Linked DNA regions of Macaca mulatta. The protein of the gene in region 1 purifies or fractionates together with the protein of each later gene. This does not show direct contact. Links are inferred from orthologs where the notes say so. Each region holds a gene or a part of one and is shown in the gene's direction. Other genes may lie near its edges. The genes, in order: ITCH, SMAD7, LAPTM5, AMOT, MAVS, USP9X and CPSF6.

The links.
Region 2: the proteins of ITCH (region 1) and SMAD7 purify together in Homo sapiens (affinity purification with western blotting; 4 studies listed by BioGRID and IntAct, with this or other methods). This does not show direct contact. The link is inferred for Macaca mulatta from reciprocal best matches to the Homo sapiens genes ITCH and SMAD7.
Region 3: the proteins of ITCH (region 1) and LAPTM5 purify together in Homo sapiens (affinity purification with western blotting; 3 studies listed by BioGRID and IntAct, with this or other methods). This does not show direct contact. The link is inferred for Macaca mulatta from reciprocal best matches to the Homo sapiens genes ITCH and LAPTM5.
Region 4: the proteins of ITCH (region 1) and AMOT purify together in Homo sapiens (affinity purification with western blotting; 3 studies listed by BioGRID). This does not show direct contact. The link is inferred for Macaca mulatta from reciprocal best matches to the Homo sapiens genes ITCH and AMOT.
Region 5: the proteins of ITCH (region 1) and MAVS purify together in Homo sapiens (affinity purification with western blotting; 3 studies listed by BioGRID). This does not show direct contact. The link is inferred for Macaca mulatta from reciprocal best matches to the Homo sapiens genes ITCH and MAVS.
Region 6: the proteins of ITCH (region 1) and USP9X purify together in Homo sapiens (affinity purification with western blotting; 3 studies listed by BioGRID, with this or other methods). This does not show direct contact. The link is inferred for Macaca mulatta from reciprocal best matches to the Homo sapiens genes ITCH and USP9X.
Region 7: the proteins of ITCH (region 1) and CPSF6 purify together in Homo sapiens (affinity purification with mass spectrometry; 5 studies listed by BioGRID and IntAct, with this or other methods). This does not show direct contact. The link is inferred for Macaca mulatta from reciprocal best matches to the Homo sapiens genes ITCH and CPSF6.

Annotation. Positions count from the first base shown.
Region 1 is NC_133415.1:87,291,546-87,294,086, forward strand, and holds the end of ITCH (E3 ubiquitin-protein ligase Itchy homolog), read left to right. Parts: intron 1-1,047; coding exon 1,048-1,147; 3' UTR 1,148-2,041; downstream 2,042-2,541. UniProt on the Homo sapiens protein: Acts as an Acts as an E3 ubiquitin-protein ligase which accepts ubiquitin from an E2 ubiquitin-conjugating enzyme in the form of a thioester and then directly transfers the ubiquitin to targeted substrates.
Region 2 is NC_133423.1:43,377,159-43,381,224, forward strand, and holds the start of SMAD7 (mothers against decapentaplegic homolog 7), read left to right. Parts: upstream 1-1,266; 5' UTR 1,267-2,869; coding exon 2,870-3,482; intron 3,483-3,849; exon of another isoform or gene 3,850-4,027; intron 4,028-4,066. UniProt on the Homo sapiens protein: Antagonist of signaling by TGF-beta (transforming growth factor) type 1 receptor superfamily members; has been shown to inhibit TGF-beta (Transforming growth factor) and activin signaling by associating with their receptors thus preventing SMAD2 access.
Region 3 is NC_133406.1:210,124,936-210,128,435, forward strand, and holds part of LAPTM5 (lysosomal-associated transmembrane protein 5), read left to right. Parts: intron 1-2,384; coding exon 2,385-2,478; intron 2,479-3,215; coding exon 3,216-3,292; intron 3,293-3,500. UniProt on the Homo sapiens protein: May have a special functional role during embryogenesis and in adult hematopoietic cells.
Region 4 is NC_133426.1:119,532,664-119,536,163, reverse strand, and holds part of AMOT (angiomotin), read left to right. Parts: intron 1-736; 5' UTR 737-798; coding exon 799-1,670; intron 1,671-3,500.
Region 5 is NC_133415.1:80,202,719-80,205,067, reverse strand, and holds part of MAVS (mitochondrial antiviral-signaling protein), read left to right. Parts: intron 1-1,130; coding exon 1,131-1,666; intron 1,667-2,349.
Region 6 is NC_133426.1:41,117,346-41,120,781, forward strand, and holds the end of USP9X (ubiquitin carboxyl-terminal hydrolase 9X), read left to right. Parts: intron 1-1,332; coding exon 1,333-1,470; 3' UTR 1,471-2,936; downstream 2,937-3,436.
Region 7 is NC_133416.1:76,357,354-76,361,323, forward strand, and holds the start of CPSF6 (cleavage and polyadenylation specificity factor subunit 6), read left to right. Parts: upstream 1-1,170; 5' UTR 1,171-1,254; coding exon 1,255-1,314; intron 1,315-3,970. UniProt on the Homo sapiens protein: Component of the cleavage factor Im (CFIm) complex that functions as an activator of the pre-mRNA 3'-end cleavage and polyadenylation processing required for the maturation of pre-mRNA into functional mRNAs.

The DNA of each region.
Region 1 (2,541 bases):
TCCTCCCCACTCCCATCCATGGAAAAATTGTCTTCCGCAAAACCATTCCCTGGTGCCAAAAAGGTTGGAGACCACTGCTTTAAACAATGACTCCCCATGACTCCCTTTCCCCAGGTCCTGGCAAACATCATTCTACTACTGTTTCTATGATTTTTGACTGTCTTTAGTACTTTATAAGTGTAGAATCATATCTTATTTGTCCTTTCATGACTGGCTTATTTCACTTAGAATAGTATCTGTAATTTTCATCCATGTTGTAGCATGTGTCAGCATTTCCTCCTTTTTAATGCTGAATAATATTTGATAGTCTGAATATACTACATTTTGTTTATACATTCATCTGTCCATGGACATTTAGATTATTTCCACCTTTTGGCTGTTTATGCTGCTATAAACATATGTATACTGTGGTAGAATATAGATATATCTGTCCATGGCCCTGCTTTCGATTGTTTTGGGTATATACCCAGAGGTGGAATTCCTTGATCATGTAATAATTCTATTTTTAATTTTGGGGGGGAATCTCACCATACTGTTCTCCATAGTGACTACACTGCATTATAGTCTTACCAGTAGTGTAGAGGGGCTCAAATTTCTCCACATCCTCATATCCTTTTCAACTCTTGTTTTCTTCTGTTTTTTGTTGTTGTTGTTGTTGTTTATTTTTTTGTTTGTTTTAAATAATAGCCATCCCAATAGGTGTGAAGTGGTATCTCATTGTGGTTTTTATTTGCATTTACCTAAGGATGTTGAGCATTTTTTTCATGTGCTTATTGGTCATTTGTATGTCTTTGGAGAAATCTCTATCCTTTGCCCATTTTAAAATATTGTTGAGTTTTAAGTTTTTTATATATTTCGGATACCAGTCCTTTATCAGATATATAATTTACAAATATTTTTTCCCATTTTTGGGTTATTTCACTTTCTTAATGGTATCCTTTGAAGCACGGTAGTATAATTTTGTGCTTCTATAGTAGTGTTATACTACACTACTCATTTGATTCTTTGCATATTTCCTTTTCTAAAACTAACAATTCTTGCTTTTAGTTTTAATCGCCTGGACCTTCCACCATACAAGAGCTATGAGCAACTGAAGGAAAAGCTGTTGTTTGCCATAGAAGAAACAGAAGGATTTGGACAAGAGTAACTTCTGAGAACTTGCACCGTGAATGGGCAAGAACTTATTTGCAATGTTTGTCCTTCTCTGCCTGTTGCACATCTTGTAAAATTGGACTATCGCTCTTTAGAGAGTTATCTGAGTGTAAGTAAATTAATGTTCTCATTTAGATTTATCTCCCAGTGATTTCTACTCAACATTTCCAGAAATCAGGTCTGCAAATGACTAGTCAAAACCTTGCTTAATATGAGATTTTAACACAACAACGAAATCTGCCTTGTCTTATTCCACTAGTTTGTTCCTTTAACAACAATTCTGTATATGTGTCAAAAGTCTCACTTGGGAGTAGTTTTTTTTCTCTTAGAGATTCTGCAGATATACAGGGAAGTCCTTTGGTAACTGCAATATACAAGATCTGCCTATTTAACCTCTTGGTAAGAGGCATTTGTTAAAAGTGGAAGCTTAGCCCAGCTTCTGGGGATGTGAGCAAAATTCTGGCTTGTGTTCTCCCTCTCATTTTAGTCTGACTTGACTATTGTTTTTCCTTTCTGGAGCATGAATCCATACATCATTCCTGGAAGTGATGCAAGACTCTTGCATCTCTACAAAGTAGTTTTGTCAATTTGAATTCAGGGAAAAGTTCTTCACAGCCTACAAATGACTTCATTTGGAAGTTTGATTGTTTCAGTTACCTGGCAAATATTACACTTTACAATGTTAACACTGTGATTCCTTCATTGTTTTAAGAAGTTAACCTAGGGCCGGGCATGGTGGCTCATACCTGTAATCCTAGCACTTTGGGAGGCCGAGGCAGGAGGATCCCTTTAGCCCAGGAGTTCAAGACCCGCCTGGGCAATATAGGGAGACCCTGTCTCTTTTGGGGAAGGGTAGGGGGAGAAATAAATAAATAAAAGGAAAAAAAAAGTTAACCTAGAATTAGAATTAATTTAACTGAATTCATCTAAGGATGTCACTGGTGATTTTTATATGTTCCTCTACATAATTGATGCTTTATAATTTTATCATAATCCAACAACTTCATTTATATTTAATTGTTAAGGAGTTTAAGACTAGAAAGACTAGAGTGTTTTCTAGTCCAAATAGAGGTCAGTGAAACAGCTTTTGACATCAAATTTTCATTTGAGAGGAAAGCTGTGGTACTGGCTAAAAACAAAGGAAGATAACATCCAGTAACCACAGGAATATATTCTCTGTGAATTAAAAGTCTTCAAAGTTACCATTTCTCTGACATATGTTGGAGTAGTCATTTCCATTCTTTACATTGTCATGAACTGGATTGATACCCCTCATCTGCCATATTCTTTTTACCCCTAAAATTTTTAACAGGGTTTCCTTTTTTTCTCATGACTATTTAAGTTTAGATTGCTCCATTATTAACTGATTAATGCACTTTGAAGTTCTCT
Region 2 (4,066 bases), on another chromosome or scaffold:
TGAATATGAAGTGAGGTTAGATCACCATGCCAACCAGTGGCCTCATCAATACTGATGTGTGTGTATTTAAATAATTACGTTTCTCAGAGCCATCAGCTTTCACGCTGTATATGCGTTCATGCCCTAGCAATGCCATGCCCGTTTCTATGCAGTAACTCGCCAGCTTGAGTATATGTTTCTTCGGGACCTGGGGTCAAGGTATAAACTCTCTGACCCTAAGCACCTTGAAAGCTACGAGGCCCAGAAACAGGCCCTGCATGCAAATAAATGCCCTAGGCAGGTCTGCTCGCTGGGTAACCTTCCCGCGCCAGGAGGCAGGGTGGCTGGTGGCGGAGGTCTTCCGGGCCCGGGAGGAAACCTGCGGGCGGCGCGCAGGCGAGCCCCCGCCTCCCGCTCCCCTTCTCCCGCCAGGAGGCTGCCCCTCGCAGCTCGTCAGCCGGCCAAATGCATTCCATAGCTGTGCACAAGACACACTTCTCCAGGCAGTCCTAGAAACCGGAGCCCGGAGCGGAGAGGGCGGGAGGGAGCGCGCGGCCGCCGCTGAGGTCATATTCACGCCGCCTCCCCGCCCTCGGCGGCTGTTCCCCTCAGCGCACACTTCCCGGGGCCTCGGTCCAGTCCCGTATAAATGTCTTTTAAACCGAGACAGCGCTCTCCTCCCCTTGCCCTCCGGCGCGGCCAAGGGATCCGCCGCCAGGGCCTTTAAAACAAAACCAATGAATGAAGCGCTAGAGCGAGCGCGCGCGAGATGGCCACCGCGAAGCCCAGCCGGGTCGAAATCGGGCCACCGACCGGCTCTCTAAGCTCCAAAACTCGCAGCGAAGCCCGCTCGGTGCTCCCTGCTTTTCCAATTTCTCCATGGCTCCCGCCGGGGCTCAATCGATTCTGGGAGCTTCTCTGCCCCCCACCTCTCTCTCCCCTCCGTCGGTACCCCATCTACAGCCCCGGGAGGGGGTGGCGGTGGCGGGGGGTTGGGGGGAGAAATAGCTTTTAGAAACCCGATCTGTTGTTTGCGAAACACAATCGCTTTTTTTTTTTTTTTTTAAAGCGACAGGGTGTCTAGACGGCCACGTGACGAGGCCGGAGCCGGGCGCGCCACTGCGCAGTGGAACCAGCCGAGCAGAGGGCCGGAGGGGGGGTGCGGGGGGGCGGGGAGGAGGCGGCGGCGGCGGCGGCTGGGGGCGGGGGAGGGAAGGGGGAGGAAGGGGGAGGGAAGGGGGCGGGGGCGGGGGCGGGAGGCCTTGCGGGAGGCGGCGAGGTCTGGGCACACTCGCTTGCTGCTCGGCGCACTGAAGATCTTGTCCCCGAGCCGCGCCAGCCGAGCCAGCCGGGCGCCGTGCTCGGTCCGCTCGCCGCGCGGGAGAGAGCTGCCCGAGACAGAGCCAGTCCGCCGCCGCCGAGCCGCCGAACGCCCGGCCCCTGAGCCCCAGAGTGCGGCGCGGCGAGCCCCTGGCGGCGGCAGAAGGACCAGAGCGCCAGGAGAGGGCGGACCGGGGACAAGGAGGCTCCCGGGCGCGACGAGGAGAGTCTCGGAGGAGGAGGCGCCGAGAGGACACCGGGGCCTCCTGCCGCCGCTGCTGGGGCCAGGCGAGCAGCCCATGCGGGGACCCTCGGCGGGCAGCCGCGGCCAGGGGAAGGGACACCGGCGGCCCCCGCACTAGCAAGCAGCTTGTGCCCAGGGGGGGCGAGAACGCGCGACCCGCCTGGGGCCCTCCGCCGCCGCCGCCGCCGCGCCGCCCTCCCCCGCGCTGTCAGCCCCGCCGGGCTCAGCCGCCGCCGCAGCATCTTCTGCCCCTGCGCCCCCGCCAGCCTCGAGGAAGTCCCCGCCGAGGACCTGGGCCCCCAGGAGCGCAGGAGGAAAGACCAGAGACTCCCCTAAACCACCCAGATGCGCAGGATTGAAGCGGTCTAGCCAAAGCTTTCTGTGGATTAAAAAAATACACGATTTTTTTTTTTTTTGGCAGAAGGAGAGGAAGACCAGCGGGGCTTTGCAAGGAAAAAAGGGGGGGATGTAACTCGTGGATACATTTTTCCACCCCTCAAACATCTTGTTATACTTTGTAAACATTTTCTTTTTTTAAACCCCAGCTCCAGCCGGACGCCCCCAGACCTCAGAGGTTCGAGGAGGTGGTGTTTTTCATTTGGGGCTTTGCATATTTGGTTGTTAGGTTTTGCGAGAGCCTTCTTATTTCGCCAGACATCTCATGCGGGGTGAAGTCCACTCGGCCCCCTCCCCTGAGTCTTCGTGTGCACAGAATTCGAGGAGATCCGGTTACTAAGGATATAGAGAAAAAAAATAAATTGCGTGCTTGCTTTTTTTTTTTTTAATTGCCTGCTTCTCCCCACCCCCAAATTAAGTTGCTTAGCAAGGGGGAAAGAGGCTTTTTCCTTCTTCCAGCAGCCCAGCCGAACGCCTTTCGCTTTTTTGCCTCCGCGGACCTTCCATGTAGGAATCCGAGGCTGGCGAGCCCGACATTCGGGAGCCACTGCGGGGGGGCCTCTTTTTGGGGAGGCGCCGACGGGGGCAGGCTCGGCCGTCCCCAGGGAAGCGGCGGCCGGGTTCCTCCGGGGCGCGCCGGGGCCGGAGAGCCGCGCAGGGCGCGGGCCGCGCGGGGTGGGGCAGCCGGAGCGCAGGCCCCCGATCCCCGGCGGGCGCCCCCGGGCCCCCGCGCGCGCCCCGGCCTCCGGGAGACTGGCGCATGCCACGGAGCGCCCCTCGGGCCGCCGCCGCTCCTGCCCGGGCCCCTGCTGCTGCTGCTGTCGCCTGCGCCTGCTGCCCCAACTCGGCGCCCGACTTCTTCATGGTGTGCGGAGGTCATGTTCGCTCCTTAGCCGCCAAACGACTTTTCTCCTCGCCTCCTCGCCCCGCATGTTCAGGACCAAACGATCTGCGCTCGTCCGGCGTCTCTGGAGGAGCCGTGCGCCCGGCGGCGAGGACGAGGAGGAGGGCGCGGGGGGAGGTGGAGGAGGCGGCGAGCTGCGGGGAGAAGGGGCGACGGACAGCCGAGCGCATGGGGCCGGTGGCGGCGGCCCGGGCAGGGCTGGATGCTGCCTGGGCAAGGCGGTGCGAGGTGCCAAAGGTCACCACCATCCCCACCCGCCAGCCGCGGGCGCCGGCGCGGCCGGGGGCGCCGAAGCGGATCTGAAGGCGCTCACGCACTCGGTGCTCAAGAAACTGAAGGAGCGGCAGCTGGAGCTGCTGCTCCAGGCCGTGGAGTCCCGCGGCGGGACGCGCACCGCGTGCCTCCTGCTGCCCGGCCGCCTGGACTGCAGGCTGGGCCCGGGGGCGCCCGCCAGCGCGCAGCCTGCGCAGCCGCCCTCGTCCTACTCGCTCCCCCTCCTGCTGTGCAAAGTGTTCAGGTGGCCGGATCTCAGGCATTCCTCGGAAGTCAAGAGGCTGTGTTGCTGTGAATCTTACGGGAAGATCAACCCCGAGCTGGTGTGCTGCAACCCCCATCACCTTAGCCGACTCTGCGAACTAGGTGAGAAGTTGTCCCCTTACCCCCAGCATTTTCCGGCGCGCCAGTGCTGGAAGAAAAGCCCTTAGGGCAGTGCGTTTGTGCAGCCACCCCTCCAGGGGGAGTGTGCATCCCCTCCTGGGAGGAGACTGGGGGCCGAAAGTAGAGAAGGGACACGGGGAAACTCAAAGGGCATTCCCTGGGGTTTCCCTTCCAGGATTTCTCCTGTGTTGCCCCGAAGGGGTCTATGGGCACTGCTCCTGCACACAGTTTGCGGTTAAAAATTAGACGCCTTCATTTCCGGATCAACAAGGGGGTGCAGAGGGAGATGGGGGGGTCACGCCTCCCCGCACCCGGAAAGGCGTTGAGGTGTGTGACCGAGTTGGATTTGGTCCAGGCCCGCCAAGGAAGGCTGGGAGAAGCATGCTATAAAAAGGCTGGAAGGTCTCCGTATTTACTCCTTCAGTAAATAAGGAGAATCACGTCGAACACAAGTGGCCCAGACACTGTCGTGGCCGCGCAGCTTTGGAGTTTTGGGGCAAAGAGAGTTGGATGGAAGGCCGAACTGGGTATCTGTCTCATTTCAACTCTGCCAGCCCCAGGGTGCA
Region 3 (3,500 bases), on another chromosome or scaffold:
TGATGTTCATGATAAACTAGGACAGTAACACATTCATGTAATTTAGAAAGAAAGGAAGATAGAGGCGTGTGTTCAAAAGGTTTTACTGACATAGGTGCATGATGAAAACATCTAAGTCCTCCCCAGGGTTCAGGCTAGCAGGGCTCTGAGGCATTTTGGGGGTCAGGGGAATGGGAAGGCATCAGAATAGCACTGGGAGACTTGGGATCCCCCACTCAACTTGCTGTGTGTCCTTGGGCAAGCCACCTAATCTCTCTGAGTTTATAAAACAAGCAGAGGGAGCTTATAAAACAAGTAGAGGTAGGCTCCTTCTAGCAAGGGGAGGTTGAGATGATCTGATTCTAGGCTTTGTTCCAGATCTCAGATACTCCTGGAATCTTGACACTTTGAAAGTCTTCTCGTTTCACAGCTGGTTGATGCTCATGGTCCTTCTCTAAGCCCAGCTGTGACTCATCTGTGATCTGCTTACATACTCCCAGGAACGGGGAGCTCACCACTTCACAGGACACCCCGTTCTGTGCTGGATGGAGCTGTCATCTGCCTCCCTTTCTCTTTCTCTCGTTCAAGGTGAAACTGAGAGGAGAGGGGCTGCGGCTTGGCCTTTAGGGACTGAGGAAGGAGTTTTTCTCTCAGGGCTGTTTCCTCTGAGTGTTAGCCATAGCCCTCACCACACCTGCCTTCTGCTCAGGGTGCTCTCGACTTTCATGATGAGACAAAGCCTTTCCAGCTCACTCTCCAGCAGCTAGAGGGGGCAGTTAGAGCATGCACCATGCTCCTGGTACTACTGCCCAACCACGTAAGCTTGCCCCAGCCAAAAGCAGATTCTGTTTGCTGGGCACCCCCTGCCAGTCCCTGAGCTCAGGGTTTTGTAAGTATAATGCAATTTAATCTTCACTGAATCCAGCGATTGCAATTTTCCAGATGAGGCAACTCAGAGAGGTTAAGAGACTTGCCCAAGGTCACACAGTGATCTGGATTCAAATCCCTCTTGATCTGGAGCCCAGCTCTTCATCACTCTTCTGTTCAGTCCCTTTCCACGCCCATAAACAGGATGTAATGTGGCAGGAAGACAAGTTGAGACCTGTGTCTGAGCTAAAAAAAAAAAAACAAAAAACAAACCCACACAGTCAGCAAGGGGGAAACAGATGGTGGGTAGCTGGTTGCCTGTCAGCTGAGCATAAGTTACCAGTGCAGGGCTGCCTAGAAAGCCAATGTAAACTTAGGGCCATATTAATAGAGATAGGGCACCCACTAGAAGGGAGGGGAGAGTCTTCTTGTTCTTTATATGGGCAGAGGAGAACTGCATGTGTGTCGTAGGGGAAGGGTGGAGGGCTTGCTGCAAGGACATGGACACACGTAAGGTTGTGAGTTCCCCATGGCTGGAAGCACTTCAGCAGAGGCTGCATGGCACAGGATTCCTGCACTGGCTGGTGGAAGGCATGGACAAGGTGATCTCCAAGGTTCTTTCAAACTGCAGTTTTGTGGCTGAATTTCAGTGGTTTCTAGGTCCACCCCAACACTCTGGCCTATCAGATTCGCCCCTTCCCCATCATTCTTAGCAACGGTCCTCTGAGAGCGTGGGGTTCATTTGTTCATTCATTCATTCATTCATTCATTCATTCATTCATTCAACAAATACAACAGCTAGGGGGATGAACAAAGACACACACAAGCTTTCCCTGCCTGGAACCTACAGTCAAGTGGGGATAACGGTAATAATAATAGCACAGATGGAGTGCTTACTATCTGCCAGGTACTTTAAGTGAATTATCCCATCTGGCTCCACCACAATCCTATGAGGAAGATGTTATTATTCCCTGAGGGGCCATGGGAGACAGGGATTCAGGGTTAGATGCTCTCCAGGGCCCTCCCGGGCCTGTGTTGATGATTCCGGGAACCTGAAGCTCTATGATGCTCTCTGATCCCCAGAGCCTGTTGTTAGAGAAGGGGGTGCAGTGGAGGGGCCTTCAACTTCTACCCCCCACCCCACCCCTTTAAGCCTGACCTTCAGTAGTAACAGTTACCACTCTTACTGAGAGCCGGGCCCAAGGGATCTCCTGGGATAGTCTCATTTACTTCTCACGGCAGCCTCCTAAGGAAGTTACTAATATTATCCCCATCTTGCAGATGGGCAAACCAAGGCATATAGAAGTCAAGTAGCTTGTCCAGGGTCACACAGCTGGAGAGAGGAAGACCCAGGATTCTGAGCATGGGCTTTCTATGTAAAGGCCACTCTTTTGTCTGGGATGCCCTACTGACCTGGCATGCCATCCACTCCAGGATCCTCACTACTGGCTTCCCTGCTGTACACCACTAAGGTGGGAAGAGCTGGTCGGGGGGCCGTGATGCAGGCTCAGCTGACTGACGCTTTGCTCTGCCTCCAGATCATGAGCGTCTTGTTGTTCATCGAGCACTCCATAGAGGTGGCCCATGGCAAGGCGTCCTGCAAGCTCTCGAAGATGGGCTACCTCAGGATCGGTAGGTCCAGGGGACGCCGGAGGAGTGGCGGCGGGAGGAGGACAGGGAGCCCTGGCTGGGGATAGCCAGGCTGGGGTTGGAGGCCCTGTCACCTCTCCATGGACGATGGATGACCTCTGGCAAGTGTCTTCCTTTCTTGGGGCCTCGGCTGTTTCATCTGCAAATGGGGATGTTCCACCTGACCCCACCCACATATGCAGGTGGTGAGAGCAGATGGAATGGCACTTTGCAAACCCCCACCAGCTGGTAAAGGTGACAGCCTCACTCTTCTGCTTAAAGCTGTCAGTGGCTGCTCATCACACTAGAATAAAATGGAAACTCCTCACCATGGGACCCAGCCCCTGCCCACTTCTCTGACAGCATCTCCCTGCAATTCTTCAGCCCACACCTTGCTTCAGCCACACTGACCTCAGCAACCTTGTCCCTGTCTCAGGCCGACTCCTCATTGCTCTCAGGCCACTCCCCAGGGATGCCTTCCTCGGCCTCACCCTGGCTGAAGTGGACCCCAGCCTGCACCTCCAGCCCAACACCCTCTGTCGCATCCACCTTGTGCTACGCGTGATGTTCTGCTTTTGTCGTTGTACCCACTCCAGACTGAGGACTGCGTGAGGGCAGGGCCTGGGCTTTCCTGTGCACCCTCGTGTCCCCAAACCAGTGGTTCCCGAAGTGTCTTCCTGGGAGCCTGGCTGGGTGCTGGGGGTACGCCTGAGCGCCTCACTGCTCTCCTTGCCTTTCAGCCGACCTGATCTCCAGCTTCATGCTCATCGCCATGCTCTTCGTCATCAGCCTGAGCCTGCTGATCGGTGTGGTCAAGGTGAGGGCTCGGGAGCCCCGCTGCCCCTGCCCCTTCCTGTTATTCACACCCGCTGATGGGCAGTGCTGGGTGCCGAGACGGGGGGGAGGCGGGTGTGTTCGGAGGTCCCACCTGCATGCTGGAGATCTTCACATTTACCTTTTGGCGAACCATGTTTCTCCCTGAGATTCCCTGGGCTGGTGACCTTGGTTCCCTGGTAACATGAGCC
Region 4 (3,500 bases), on another chromosome or scaffold:
CTTTAAGCTTCTCCTACCCAATAACAACAACAACAAATCTCGATGACTATTTCGGGAGGGCTGAAAGGCAACTTTGTCAGTAATAAGTATTCCAAGTCCTTCTCTTATTAAGCCAAGCAGCATCCAAAATGGACACTACAAAAATGATTTTTTAAAAAGATGTTTCAGAGCCTTATGAGATCAGAGAAAAAGATTTGCATCGAGGCAGGGATCATTACTATCTGGTGCAAGCCAAGCTCTCTTCACCTTTTATTTATTTGAGTCTTTATTTTGCATTTTGTAGCTCGCTTCATATGCTGAGCTGCTTTACAAATCCTGTTATGGGGTAATTTTCCCCACTGTCCTGCCCCCACCTCCACAGTAATAAGATTTGGGTTTTTACCTTAAATAGAATACAGAGAGATGAAGCCTGTGAATATGGACCTTGAAAAGTTACCCGCTTTAATTACCCTACTTGACTGTTCCAGGTTTCTCAAGCATTCTTAGGAGTTAAGTCCAGATTGAATATTTAGCTCATGCTAAAAGTGAAAGAGGAAGCCTAGAGCTCTTATGCCTCCACTTTCCTCATCATATCAGTGCTAGGGCCTGGAATCCCCAAAAATCTATTAATTTTAGGTTAAATTCTCTACTTTGTTTCTGCAATAGAATCCTCACCCTCCAATATCCATTTTCATTCCCTTTAGAGGACTAATTTATCCATCAACTGGGTGTTAAGCTTCCTGTTTCCCCTTCCCAGGTCAAGGGCAGCCCAGGTGCCCAATTTCTCTCTCTCTTCACAAGGCACCACCAGCAATAGAGATGAGAAATTCTGAAGAACAGCCAAGTGGAGGGACCACAGTATTGCAGCGTTTGCTACAAGAGCAGCTTCGCTATGGCAATCCTAGTGAGAATCGCAGCCTACTTGCCATACACCAGCAAGCCACAGGGAATGGCCCTCCTTTCCCCACTGGCAGTGGGAACCTGGGCCCTCAGAGTGATGTGTTGAGTCCCCAAGACCACCACCAACAGCTTGTGGCTCATGCTGCTCGACAAGAACCCCAGGGGCAGGAAATCCAGTCAGAAAACATCATCATGGAGAAGCAACTGTCTCCTAGAATGCAGAATAATGAAGAACTCCCGACTTACGAAGAAGCGAAGGTTCAGTCCCAGTACTTTCGGGGCCAACAGCATGCCAGTGTTGGAGCTGCCTTCTATGTCACTGGAGTCACCAACCAGAAGATGAGGACCGAGGGACGCCCATCAGTTCAGCGGCTCAATCCTGGAAAGATGCACCAAGATGAAGGACTCAGAGACCTTAAGCAAGGGCATGTCCGTTCCTTGAGTGAACGACTAATGCAGATGTCACTGGCCACCAGTGGAGTTAAGGCCCATCCACCTGTTACCAGTGCTCCCCTCTCCCCACCACAACCCAATGACCTGTACAAGAATCCCACAAGTTCCAGTGAATTCTACAAGGCCCAAGGGCCACTTCCTAACCAGCATAGCCTGAAGGGCATGGAACACCGAGGCCCCCCACCAGAGTATCCCTTCAAGGGCATGCCACCCCAATCTGTAGTGTGCAAGCCCCAAGAGCCAGGGCACTTCTATAGTGAGCATCGCCTGAACCAGCCAGGGAGAACAGAGGGGCAACTGATGAGGTATCAGCATCCCCCTGAGTATGGAGCAGCCAGGTAAGAGAGTTCTCTTTCTGTCATTTCCTGACCTCATCCCCAACCAGCTTCTGCTGTGTGTTGGGAATCTTAGGGAGGGAATGGGCAGCTGTTTGGTATAACAAACTCTGCAATGCATGACAGGCTTCTGGCTTAGAGAATTGCCTGCCAACCTGAATTTGTAGCCTCTGTAGCCATGATTAGCACTGTATTAACAATCCCTTAGCTTTGTAGGTTGAGCGTGGCCTCAATGGCCTAGTGGATGAACAGGAGCAAAAGTCTTGATTTCAGCGGCTATTCGCTGTCCTGTCTCCTAGGATGTTGAAGAAGGGGTCTGTGTTTCTCATAAACCCTCCTTGAGAAGTAGAAGCAAATTACCTTGCACTTTAATTAGTCTGGAACATCCTATCACTTGCACATATTCCCCTCCATGAAGTTCTCATCATTTATTTTTGCAAACAAATCTGTGTATTTCTTGTCAGTTAGCATTTTTCCATAGAATTACCATTATTCTTTTGGACACTAAACAAATACCCAGATGTTATGGTGGGGGAGCTATGTATGTATGTAGGTTCAGAATGTTACTTGCCTTATGCTTGCAGTTTATGAAATCTGGACTGTTGTATCTTTTTTTGGTAGAAAATTTATTAGTTGCCTGTCACATTTTTAAACCTTTGAGTTAAATTCCCATCACATCATATAGAAATTGTAGTCAGATGCTAAAATACAGAAGGAAAAATAGTACCATTTCTGTCTTATATACTTAGTTGTTCCTATATATACTTCTTAATTATTCAGAGGTCCTTTGTCCCACTGCTATATTCACTAGATCTTATGATTCTATGATTCTGTTCATTGTTCCTGTTGTTAGTATTTGGGCCATGTCTCTGATCAGTAGTATTTCAACATATAGGGCAGGAGAAAAGGTTTAAACTGTGGGCACCAATGGTGGCATTTAAGTGTGGCATCCTGCCCCATGACCGTGAGTAATGATGGGTGGCCATCAGGTGTGAAGTGCTTGGTCCTAGGCTGGCCTTCATCTATATGCAGCTCACAGACTAGGTCTGTGATGTCCTTTGATGTCTACCTCTTTGTCTCCTGTACCCTACTTGCTTATTTTGGAAAAAACCTTCTGGCTTGAAGTTCATTGAGTGACTCAGGAGAGAAGGCAGTCATGGGGTGGAGTAGGGTGAAAGTAAGAGAAGGCACCTAGCATTTCCTGGTATTTCTTTGTTTTGCCCTCCAGGTCCTGTTTTTTTTAGCCAGAGGCAGTTCGCTTTGGGCTCCACCCCTAACATTGCCAGTTTAGGATTTTTTTTTCCCTCTTAACCCAGGTTGATTTCCTAACCCTTCAACCTCCTCTGTGCAGCTTTCAAAGCGCAGGAGCCTATGTTCTGATAAGTGTCTTGGAACAGGAAATGGGGTAACCGACAGGGCCACTCAGGTTTAAAAGAGATCAGGAACCAGATTCCCATCTGACCAATGAAACGGAAGACCCGGGGAAAGGTTGATCTGTTCAAGACTGCTTCACTTAGTGGAAACCCATTCAAGCCAGCAAAATATCAATGAAGCTGGGGGTTTCTGTTTTACTTTTCCCGTCAGTATGGAAGAGTCTGTTGATGGGCTGACGTCTGTTGCCTTGTGGGAGGGGAGTGTGTTGGCTGGGGTGTGGAGCAGAAGCCACAGCCCCACTCAGCACACAGCCCGCCTTCCTAGGAAAGCTATTTTCAGAACTCATTCACCAGTATTGTTTGTGATCTGAAATGACTCCCACAGTGTTTGAAGCTAGATGGAAAAGCCCTTTGATCTCCCTAAATAAATAATAGGGAGCCCAAAGAGGGTTTTTTTTTT
Region 5 (2,349 bases), about 7.1 Mb from region 1:
AGCCTTTAGGCACTGCCTTACCGCAGAGATCTCCAGTTCCCAGTGAATCATGAAAACTTCTCAGTTCCCAGACTTCTTCATCATCCAGTGGCCTGGACCCAACTCCAGACCTCAGTGCTCCCCCTCAGAAATATATAGTTGTCCATCTGGACCTCTCAGGCTAGCATGTCTCTTTCCTACTTCCCAAACTGTTCCACATGATGCTGGTGCCCAGTCAGCCCTCAGTGCCCTGGGACAGCCACAAGACAATGAGCAGTTAAAGGCTGGGAGACGTCATCTTAGTACTTTTGTCATCCCCAAACTGCTCCAAGCACCTGTCTATGCTTTGTAGTGTCATCTGGCCATGGGATGCCTTTCAGGAGTTGCTGTAGACCATGCAGGCAGAGGGCACTTAGGTTTCAGTATGTTTGTAGACACAGGTCCCATGAGATTCTGTGGTATTAGATTGCCGTGGGGGAGGTGTACATCAGAATCACCCTGACTTTTGCCAGCTGTGGGGCTTGGCATGTGCATTCCGAGTTCCGTGGAGAGTCCTGCTGCAACTGCCTTTATAGACCATCACTACCTGCTATCCCCTGCTTCCCCGACCCAGGTCAGGCAGCCTCCCAGGGGTGGCTTTGTCCCTGTTGCCTCTCTTCCCAAGCCTCTGGGATGGCCAGCCCTCTTGGCTGGTATGAGCCATTCTGCATGCGCCGTCCTGCCACCCCTCACCCTGATCCACGACTGCTTCCACTCGTGGTGGTCGGAGAGGGACAGCAATGGGGGAAGTGTTCAGGATTCCATGAGGCTAAGGTCAAGGTAGAAAAAGTGGACACAGGAGAGGGGAGGTTTCCTAGGTGGGAGAGGAAAAAGCGGAGAGAATAATTAATAATGATCTTCAAGTTCCTAGGTACCATTTCACTGTGTGCCAGGACAGACCTGGGGCTACAGGTCAAGGACTGAGGGCAGCTGTTGGGCTTTCAGGCCAGGAAACAGTGACTAAAGGGACTGTGGCATCTCCTTCAAGGGCAGGAGATTTGGAGGCCTAGACACAGTAGGGACCATGAAACCTGGGGCAGAGGGACCCTTCTCCAGGCCTCAAGGTAACGGTCTTTGGGTCTGTGTTTCCACTTGTGTTTTGCCACCTGCAGGTGCAACCTCCAGCCTCATACCATCCCGTGGGCCTGTGTCTCCATCTGTCTCCTTCCAGCCCCTGGCCCGTTCCACCCCCAGGGCAAGCCGCTTGCCTGGACCTGCAGGGTCAGTTGTATCTACTGGCACCTCCTCCTCCTCCTCCTCCTCATCCCCTGGCTTGGCCTCTGCAGGGGCTGCAGAGGGTGAACAGGGTGCAGAGAGTGACCAGGCTGAGCCTATCATCTGCTCCAGTGGGGCAGAGGCACCTGCCAACTCTCTGCCCTCCAAAGTGCCTACCACCTTGATGCCTGTGAACACAGTGGCCCCGAAAGTGCCTGCCAACCCAGCATCTGCCAGCACAGTGCCCTCCAAGTTGCCAACTAGCTCAAAGCCCCCTGGTACAGTGCCTTCTGTGTTCACCAATCCAGCACCATCCAAATTGCCCATCAACTCAACCCGTGCTGGCATGGTGCCATCCAAAGTGCCTGCTAGCATGGTGCGCACCAAGGTGTCTGCCAGCACAGTCCCCACTGACAGGAGCAGCAGAACTGAGGTAAGTCCTTGCACCTCCTGGCAGGGATCCACGCCCCTTCCCCTGGGAGAGCTTGCCCACCTGGCCCCAGCCTTGGCCCCTTTCCAGTCTGCATTGTCTCCAGCCTGGGCTGCTCTATGGCCTCTCCTTGCAGGTATACAGAACCAGCCTCATGTAGGCCCCACACCATGTTCTCCAGGAGGAACAGTCATTAGAGCTCCTAAGTCTGGACATCTCAGGAGGGTCAGCCACAGGGGGCACCCACTGGTCAGGTGCATAAGTTCATTTAAGGCTCGTAGCTCCTAGTGAAGCCGAACAGTGCCATTTAGAATATAAGGAAGCAGTGAGGGGGACAGCACAGTGGCCCATCTGCCTCTTGCCTTGCTCTTCGCCACTAGGATGCCCGGTGTGCCCCTCCATGGCCAGGCTTTACAGAACGCAGTCCCACCTGAGCAGCCACTATGACCCAGCAGCCCCCCATTGTTGCCTGCTCCAAGCCTCACATCTGACTCTAGCTGTGGCTGTCTGCTGGGAGGAGCCAAGTCCATATGGCCCTATGGGCACATGGCCAGGCCTCTGACCCTGTGGCTGCTCTCTAGTTCTCAGGCCCAGGCAGGATGTCAGTGCAGGATGGGGCCCTGCCCTACCAAGGGCTTCCAGGTGGGCATGAGCTCACAGGCAGGCCAGGGAATAGGGAAAGCCTG
Region 6 (3,436 bases), on another chromosome or scaffold:
GGTAGATTTCCATAGGTGATTAGCTATAAAGTAAATAAACTAGTAAATAAATAGCAAAAGAAATGAGATGAAGAAACATTCTAAATGAAAACTTTTTCTTTCTGAAACCGAAATGTGACTAAATCAGCTCTTGTGAGGCAATGGTACTCAAACTTGAACAGGCATGAGTCTGCTTGGAGGGCTTGCTCCAGCAGAGGGCTAGACGCTATCCCAAAGTGTCTGATTTCATAGGTCTTCAAGGGGCTGGAAAATGAACATTTCTAACAAGTTCCCAAGTGATGCTGCTGGTGGTCCAGGAACTATACTTGGAGAAACATTTCAGGCATTCTTTCTTACGTTTCACTGTGTACACAGAAGCAAACTGAATAGTTAGGAAGTACACATTCAGCATACGTATTTTCATCTGTAGAAATGGGCGCAGTAGCTCATGCCTGTAATCCCAGCACTTTGGGAGGCTGAGGCAGGCGGATCACCTGAGGTCAGGAGTTTGAGACCAGCCTGACCAACATGGAGAAACCCTGTCTCTACTAAAAATACAAAATTAACTGGGTGTGGTGGCGCATGCCTGTAATCCCAGCTACTCGGGAGGGTGAGGCAAGAGAATCTCTTGAAGCCAGGAGGTGGAGGTTGTGGTGAGTCGAGATAGCACCATTGCACTCCAGCCTGGGCAACAAGAGTGAACTCCATCTCAAAAAAAAAGTCTAGAATCTTGGCGTGGCTGATGGAGCATATACAGAAAAATGAGAGCACTGTAGGGTTCAGACATTTTAAAAGGTTAAGGAACCAAATCCACAAGGGAGGTTAACTTCCTTTGACCCTGAGAAAGCTCTTATGTTAATCATGCCTGGTTACTTTATCATCTTGAACATTGTTCTGTTTTTAATCAGCATTATTGTGAGTTCAGGGTTACTACTCCTGTATATCTTGTATCATGGTTAGTCAATTGGATTTAGCATGTGGAAGAGTCAATAGATGCTCATAGATTGTTTTCTGAACATTTTTTTACCAAGAGCAACAGTGGGTTAATCCTTTATTTGCCAGACTTGAGTCTAAATCATTTTGGCACTAAAAATCACTTTGGCCAAAGATGTATGTGGACCTACACAATCACTGCTCTTATTCAGGGTTTGGGGGTTTGCATTTACATTATGTTTTTCTCTTTCAAGCCTTTTTTTGTTTTTGTTTTTGTTCTTGCACAATAGTAGTCCAACGGTATTTACAGAGTAAGTCCCAAGAATAAAAGTTTACATTTCCAGAGACTTCAGACCATGATTTTGAAGTTGTTTTACTATGTGAAAAGTTTTAACATGCAGATCTCTTCTCCTTTCCCAGAATAACCATGTGCATGGACAGCCATATACAGGCCCAGCAGCACATCACATGAACAACCCTCAGAGAACTGGCCAACGAGCACAAGAAAATTATGAAGGCAGTGAAGAAGTATCCCCACCTCAAGCCAAGGATCAATGAAATGCACATAATTAACTGGTTCCATCAAGACTGTGCACCCAGGCCTTACAGTCCAACCTTTTTCTGTGTCTGGCTAATATTTAAAACTAGAAAAACTATTCCTAATCAACATGGAGTGGAGAGTTTATTCACTGTCTTATCTGCAGAAATTTGCTGTCAATATATAACCCGCCTGCAGTGGAAAGTGTATAGTGTTTTGTAATAAATGGCCTGATGCTAATGTGTAAATGGCAAAGGTGTATATAGTATATTAATGTTGACTGTTAATTCTTAAGCAAGAAACTTTTTTCTTGATGAGACTCACAGATCTACACAAACTACAAAAGTTAATTTTCTTGTTATACCCACTGCACTCTGCAACCAGTGTTGCCTGCCTCATGGCAGTTGGTTCAGCTCCTTTACAAAAAAACCCAACAGCAACAAAACAGAGCCCATTCATGTCAGCCACACCAATAGTTTCATGTTAATTCTTTGCCACTGGAGTCAATTTTGCTATGAGCAATGTGTAAGGCTGGTAACCTTTAAATTATTTGGTTGATGTGGAAAATTGGTGATGTAACACTGTTTCTAGATTTTTTTCATTGCCTTTTTATTCTGATATTAGGTTAATCACTTTGAAGCTATAGTTATGCTGTAACATTTAGCATGGCTTCACACCAAGTTAGTGTAGCCAGTGAGGAAAAAGTTACCATAATGACAGCAGTTGTCCGAGAAGTGACAGCTGTATTACTCAGAGCTTTTACTTCTTACACCTAGAATATTAAAATATAAAACAAGGCGAGAAATGTGACAAACAGGCTGTTTTCAGTTGCACATATGTTCCTTATGTATAATGTTTGACAGTTCAATCTCTGGGTGGGATAAAGAACACTTACGTATCAGTAATGGGAATTTTAAAAAATATAAAACAAATATGCAAAAATTTGCTATGCCAAGATGCTGGAGCATAATAGAAGACTGTATTTGGTGTGCTTGTTTTGTTTCTTTGGTAGAGTTTATTAGGTGAATCTTCTCAAACTTTCCTTCTGCTGGATCCCAGTGACGTGGAAGTCATCAGAACCCCACGATACTTGGAGTACCTCTCTGCACCAAGATAGCTGGCTGATTTTCTGCTCAGTCACAATTTTACTTGAAAGCAAGAATTGTCCTAGCTCCTCTTCCATTATTCCAAAAAGTTTAACGTTCAAAGCAGGGTCTCATTAAAAAAGAAACTACTGGTTAGTTAATATAATTGAGATATCACAATTTCAGAATAAACATTTGATTACAAATAAGGAACTCCTCAGTTCATACTGTATTTAAAAGAGAATTGGTAACTTGAATGTGTGTAATTTTTTGGAACCTGTCTAAAAACCAAATACCCTGCAAACAGATACAGCCCACCCTATTCTATTTAAATATTTTGCTGTTTTATTTTATAGAAATTATTTTGCTGAATTCACAAATAGAATTTGATTTAAGAAGAACTTTTTGTCCTGTGGTGTGTGTTTTTTTTTTTTTTTTTTTTTTTTTTGGTTACTTTTTTTGTCCTTTTTTTTCACAGAGGACTGCATATTAAAATTCATTCTGTGCATAGCATGCCTAGGCATGACACTGATTCAGGATTTCAGTCACACTGAGTTTTTGTGCACAGAAAGATTTGACCTTTGGCCCTTTACTGAAGATTTTGAGAAATCAGGATGTTGACACTGTAAAAGTTTCCTAACATAATCTTGTACTTTTTGTATGTTTTTTATATACATGTATATTTAATGAGCACAAGCTTGGTTGTATTTTTTACAATTCAGTTAATAGGGAAATGTTTTGTCAAAAGGCTACACTTGGAACTGAACAAAGCAGAAACAAAATTGAGCATTGCATTATTTTGTGATTAAAAGGGGCAGGTATTTAAGATAAAGCTTTGGGTATCTTATTTGTAGTACTCTGTGGTCAACCTGTGCTTCTAGGTGTTCCTGTAATAGTAGGA
Region 7 (3,970 bases), on another chromosome or scaffold:
GATTATGTCATACAATATTTTTAGTTATTTTGAGTTTTGATTGCATTTTGACTGCAACCTGGCACATAAGATCAGGTGTGGAATTTTTCACTTGCGGCATCATGTCAGTGCACAAAAAGTTTCAGATTTTGGAGCGTTTCAAATTGTTGGATTAGAGATGCCCAACCTTACAGATGTTGTTTGGGTTATTCTATGGATGATTTCTCGCCAGTTTCTCAGGAAACACGCTCTACTATAGTATATTTCTTAATGAGTGAAAAAGAAATAAAGAACGGAGGGGAAAGTTTCAAACTGGAGAGACATCCTTGAGTAAAGTATCGTGGCTGAATGTTCCTACCTTTATTGACCATGTGACCTGGTTAAATCACTTAGGTTCTATTAGGCTTCAGTCTTCTCCTCTGTAAAATGAGATGTTTGGACCTAAGGACACCTTTCCAGTTCCCTTCCCGCTGGGACATTCTAGGATTCTGAGAAAGAAGCCCCTGGCCTCAAGAGACCTCCACTCTCTTGGGTGTGCTCTAAGATGACTGCATTCATTTTAGAAGCATCTGAACTATGCCAGAGACAACCTACTGTAGATCTAAGGAAGAAAAAATGAAGGGCAATGAATGCGAGAAGAAGGGGAGAGGAAAGAAGCCCATGAAGATTAGAGATGGAAATGGCAACATAAACAGCGTGCAAATATAACCACTGACGGGTATCTAGCGTTTACATGCAAATAAAATTCTGCTTGTCTCTGAGGATGCAGAAACAACACATTGTTTTTGGCCTTAAGCCGCTCACAGAATGCCCGGGGGTTACACTTTGTATTTAACCATGAACATATAACTTCCACCTTTAGAAGTCCTGCATGTGTGAAAGGTAAGAAAAACGGATAAATGAAAATATTAACAAAACGTTTGAGTATGGCAGAGGCCACGTGAAAAGACGATGTGTGGAAACAGGTGGGACCCACTGGTAAACTGGATGCGCGAGGAGGACAAAGAAATTGCCCCCCACTCCCGGGCCTCACCCAGACACAAAAGAAACGCCCTCTGCCCTTAGAGGAGCAGCCTTTCCTCAGCCAGCCGAGCGGCTGGGTTGCACAGTCCCCGCCCCCGGCCGGCCCCTGTCGCTCCCGCCTCCATCCCTCGGGCCTCGGAAGTGACGCAAGCGCCCCCCACCGCCGCTAGATCCGCTGCTGCTGCCGCGGCGGGCGGACCTGCAGGAGGAGGCGGCGGCGGCGGCGGCGGTGGCGGCCGAGGCTGAGGGAAGATGGCGGACGGCGTGGACCACATAGACATTTACGCGGATGTGGGCGAAGAGTTCAACCAGGTACGTGAGAGCCCGGGTCCCCGTCGCCCATGCGGGCGGCGCTGCGGCTGGGACGCTGACCCGGGGCCCGCTGCGGCCGCGAGCCGAAGCGACTGCAGACTATGCGCCCTTGCCGCCTCTGGGCCGCGCCGCCGACCCCCGGCGTGGCGGCCCCCCCCCCGCCCTTCGTTCTACCGCGTCGTTTCACGGGCCGCGGGCGCGGCGACCCGTCGCGGGGCCCGGAGCGCGGATGCGGGCGGCTGTGCAGCTGCCGCCGGCTCCTCCCTCGCCGGCGCTGCCTCGCTCCCTATTGTTGGCGGCACCCGGCTGGCGCTTCCCGCCGCGCTAGGCCCGGGCGGTGGGGCCGCGTGTAAGCGGCGGAGAGAACTGGCCACCGCCGCGCCCCCTCCCCCGTCGCCGGCCGGAGGAGGAAGCCCCGGCAGGGCGCGCGCCCGCCGCCGCCGCCCCTTCCCCGCCGCTGCCGCTCGGGCTCAGATTCCTCCCATTGCTCCATTTTGTCTCCCTACCCGCGCACTATCGCCTCATGGAAGGCCGCATTCACGGCCCTTTGTATCCCGCGCGCCCAGTCCCTGGGGCTCTCCTCGGGTTTGCGACAGGTTTCGGCGTGGCGCCTTCCTCCTCCCTTCACACTTTCTGAAGGCGGCTGAGGTGCAGGCTTGTTTGCAACAAGTCATTTGACTTTTGGAGCCACAGATAAAAGTCGGTGCGCTGGTCCTGCCTTGTTAATCCAGGGCTTGCAATGCCTTTGAAGCCCAGTCGTTTTTGGCCTTTGTTATGAAAATACCTGTGAAGATGGGTGGCCGGGGACCTAAAGGAAGATTGGAAGCGCGATGTTTGGATGGAACAAAAAGATGTTAGCTCACCCACAGGTCTCATAGTGATTAAAATGAAAGAACGTTCACCCCAAATCCTATGATGTGGTTTAAAAATAGAGTTGTAGATAAGACCCTGTTTTCGAAAACAAAGTGTTAAATCCCCCGGCCCTGCATTACCTTTTGAAAGGTTGAGCGAAAGTGAGAATGCAAGGTTTTCCTGAACGACGTTGCTTAGAGGTAACGCGGAGCTGTGATGTCTGATAATGGGCATCCTTGCAAAAGATGTCGTTTGTTGCTAGAGTAGTGACGTTTAAGGTTTGAACCTGCTGGTCGTATCTTTACTGCATTTTATGTAGTAACACATTTAAAACAAATTGTGCCTAACTGCCGTGTTCCTAAAAGCTTTATTTTTTTGTATTCCCCAGGTCCTTATGAGAAGCTTAATAAAATAATACTGGCTTAATGTGTTTTTTTCCCCCTCCATTAACTGTCATATTCGTGACTAGTTGCTCAGGCTTTTTAAAAACAAGGAAACTCAGGAGCTCTTTACTGTTTTATTTTTCAGGAATGACTTTGTTCTGGTTTAAATATTAGAAAACAGAAAACTACTAGTTGGCTTTAAATGTTTGCTACTCCGTTGAAGACTGGATTTGTTTAAATGTAATACATTGTAATGAAAGGTTAAGTTTTTAAATTTTTGTGTTTTTAAAATTGTGCTTGTTTTAAATAATAATGCTTGAATTGTGTCAGTTACAAATCAGATACATTCCTCGACTGCAACACAGATTCTAACGCTTATAAGACCTCTAGGAAATTTTTTTCCTTTTATTTATCAAGTGAATGTAACAGTGCGTTTAGAAGAGGGCCGTAACTGCAAGGAACAACGATTAAGTGTTCAAGGCTGCCCTTGTTAGCTTTTCTTACAAGAGAATACTTTGCTTCACCTTTCTATGCACAATAAAAGAAGAATTGGGACACAATTTTAGAAGTTAAACTTTTTTCAGTACCTCTTAATGAAATATGTTTGGGCTTTTGCATTCTTAATTTGAGAGGGACATCTCCCTTTTCCGGATAGCTGGGTGGATTGTTATCCCTGTGCAGTAACAAGTGCTGACTGGGTGGGAGGTAAGAAGAGATTAGTTTTGTGGACCCAATGAGGGACTCCTTTTAAATGTAACTTTTCAACGATTTGTATAAGGTACGTACCACATATCTAACACAGTTGTATAATTTTGCCAGTAAGATCTTTATATGTTTGAATAGATTGATGGCGAGGATACATAGAGGCATTGTTTTTGCTACTTTGCATATCGTTGGCCAATCAATGATTGATTGATTTGTATATCTTTTTGCAGTACCACTGCTTGCTGTGGTTGTTCCTGTACCAAAAAAAAAAAAAAAGTCACAAAAGGATAGTTGGTTATTTTCAGAGCTTATCCTGCTTTTAAAAATGTTACTGTCATTGAAATGTTTTTCCAAAATTTTGCCACCATTAGAGGCAACCACAAAATAATTTACAACTGATTTAATCTTTACTAGCTGGTGACCTTATTTCTACTAGTTGCTATAGTAGACTTGACCTCTTGTTTTATTGTTGAGTAAAATACTTTCCTAAGTATTAGCCAGTTTTGACTTATTTTGGCTTCAAAACTGTTGTAAACATTAAAAAAAAACTTTGTTTTCCAGTGTAAACTGCAGTTCTAATTGGATTTGTGTACTTTGAAATTCGGCATAGTCTTTATTTCCATTTTCTACTATTTTTTTGTCTGTATCCTGCTGAGTCTCATATTTTAAATGTCATACTTTTATGAAGCTTGTTTGTATTTTGGTAAGGTACAATA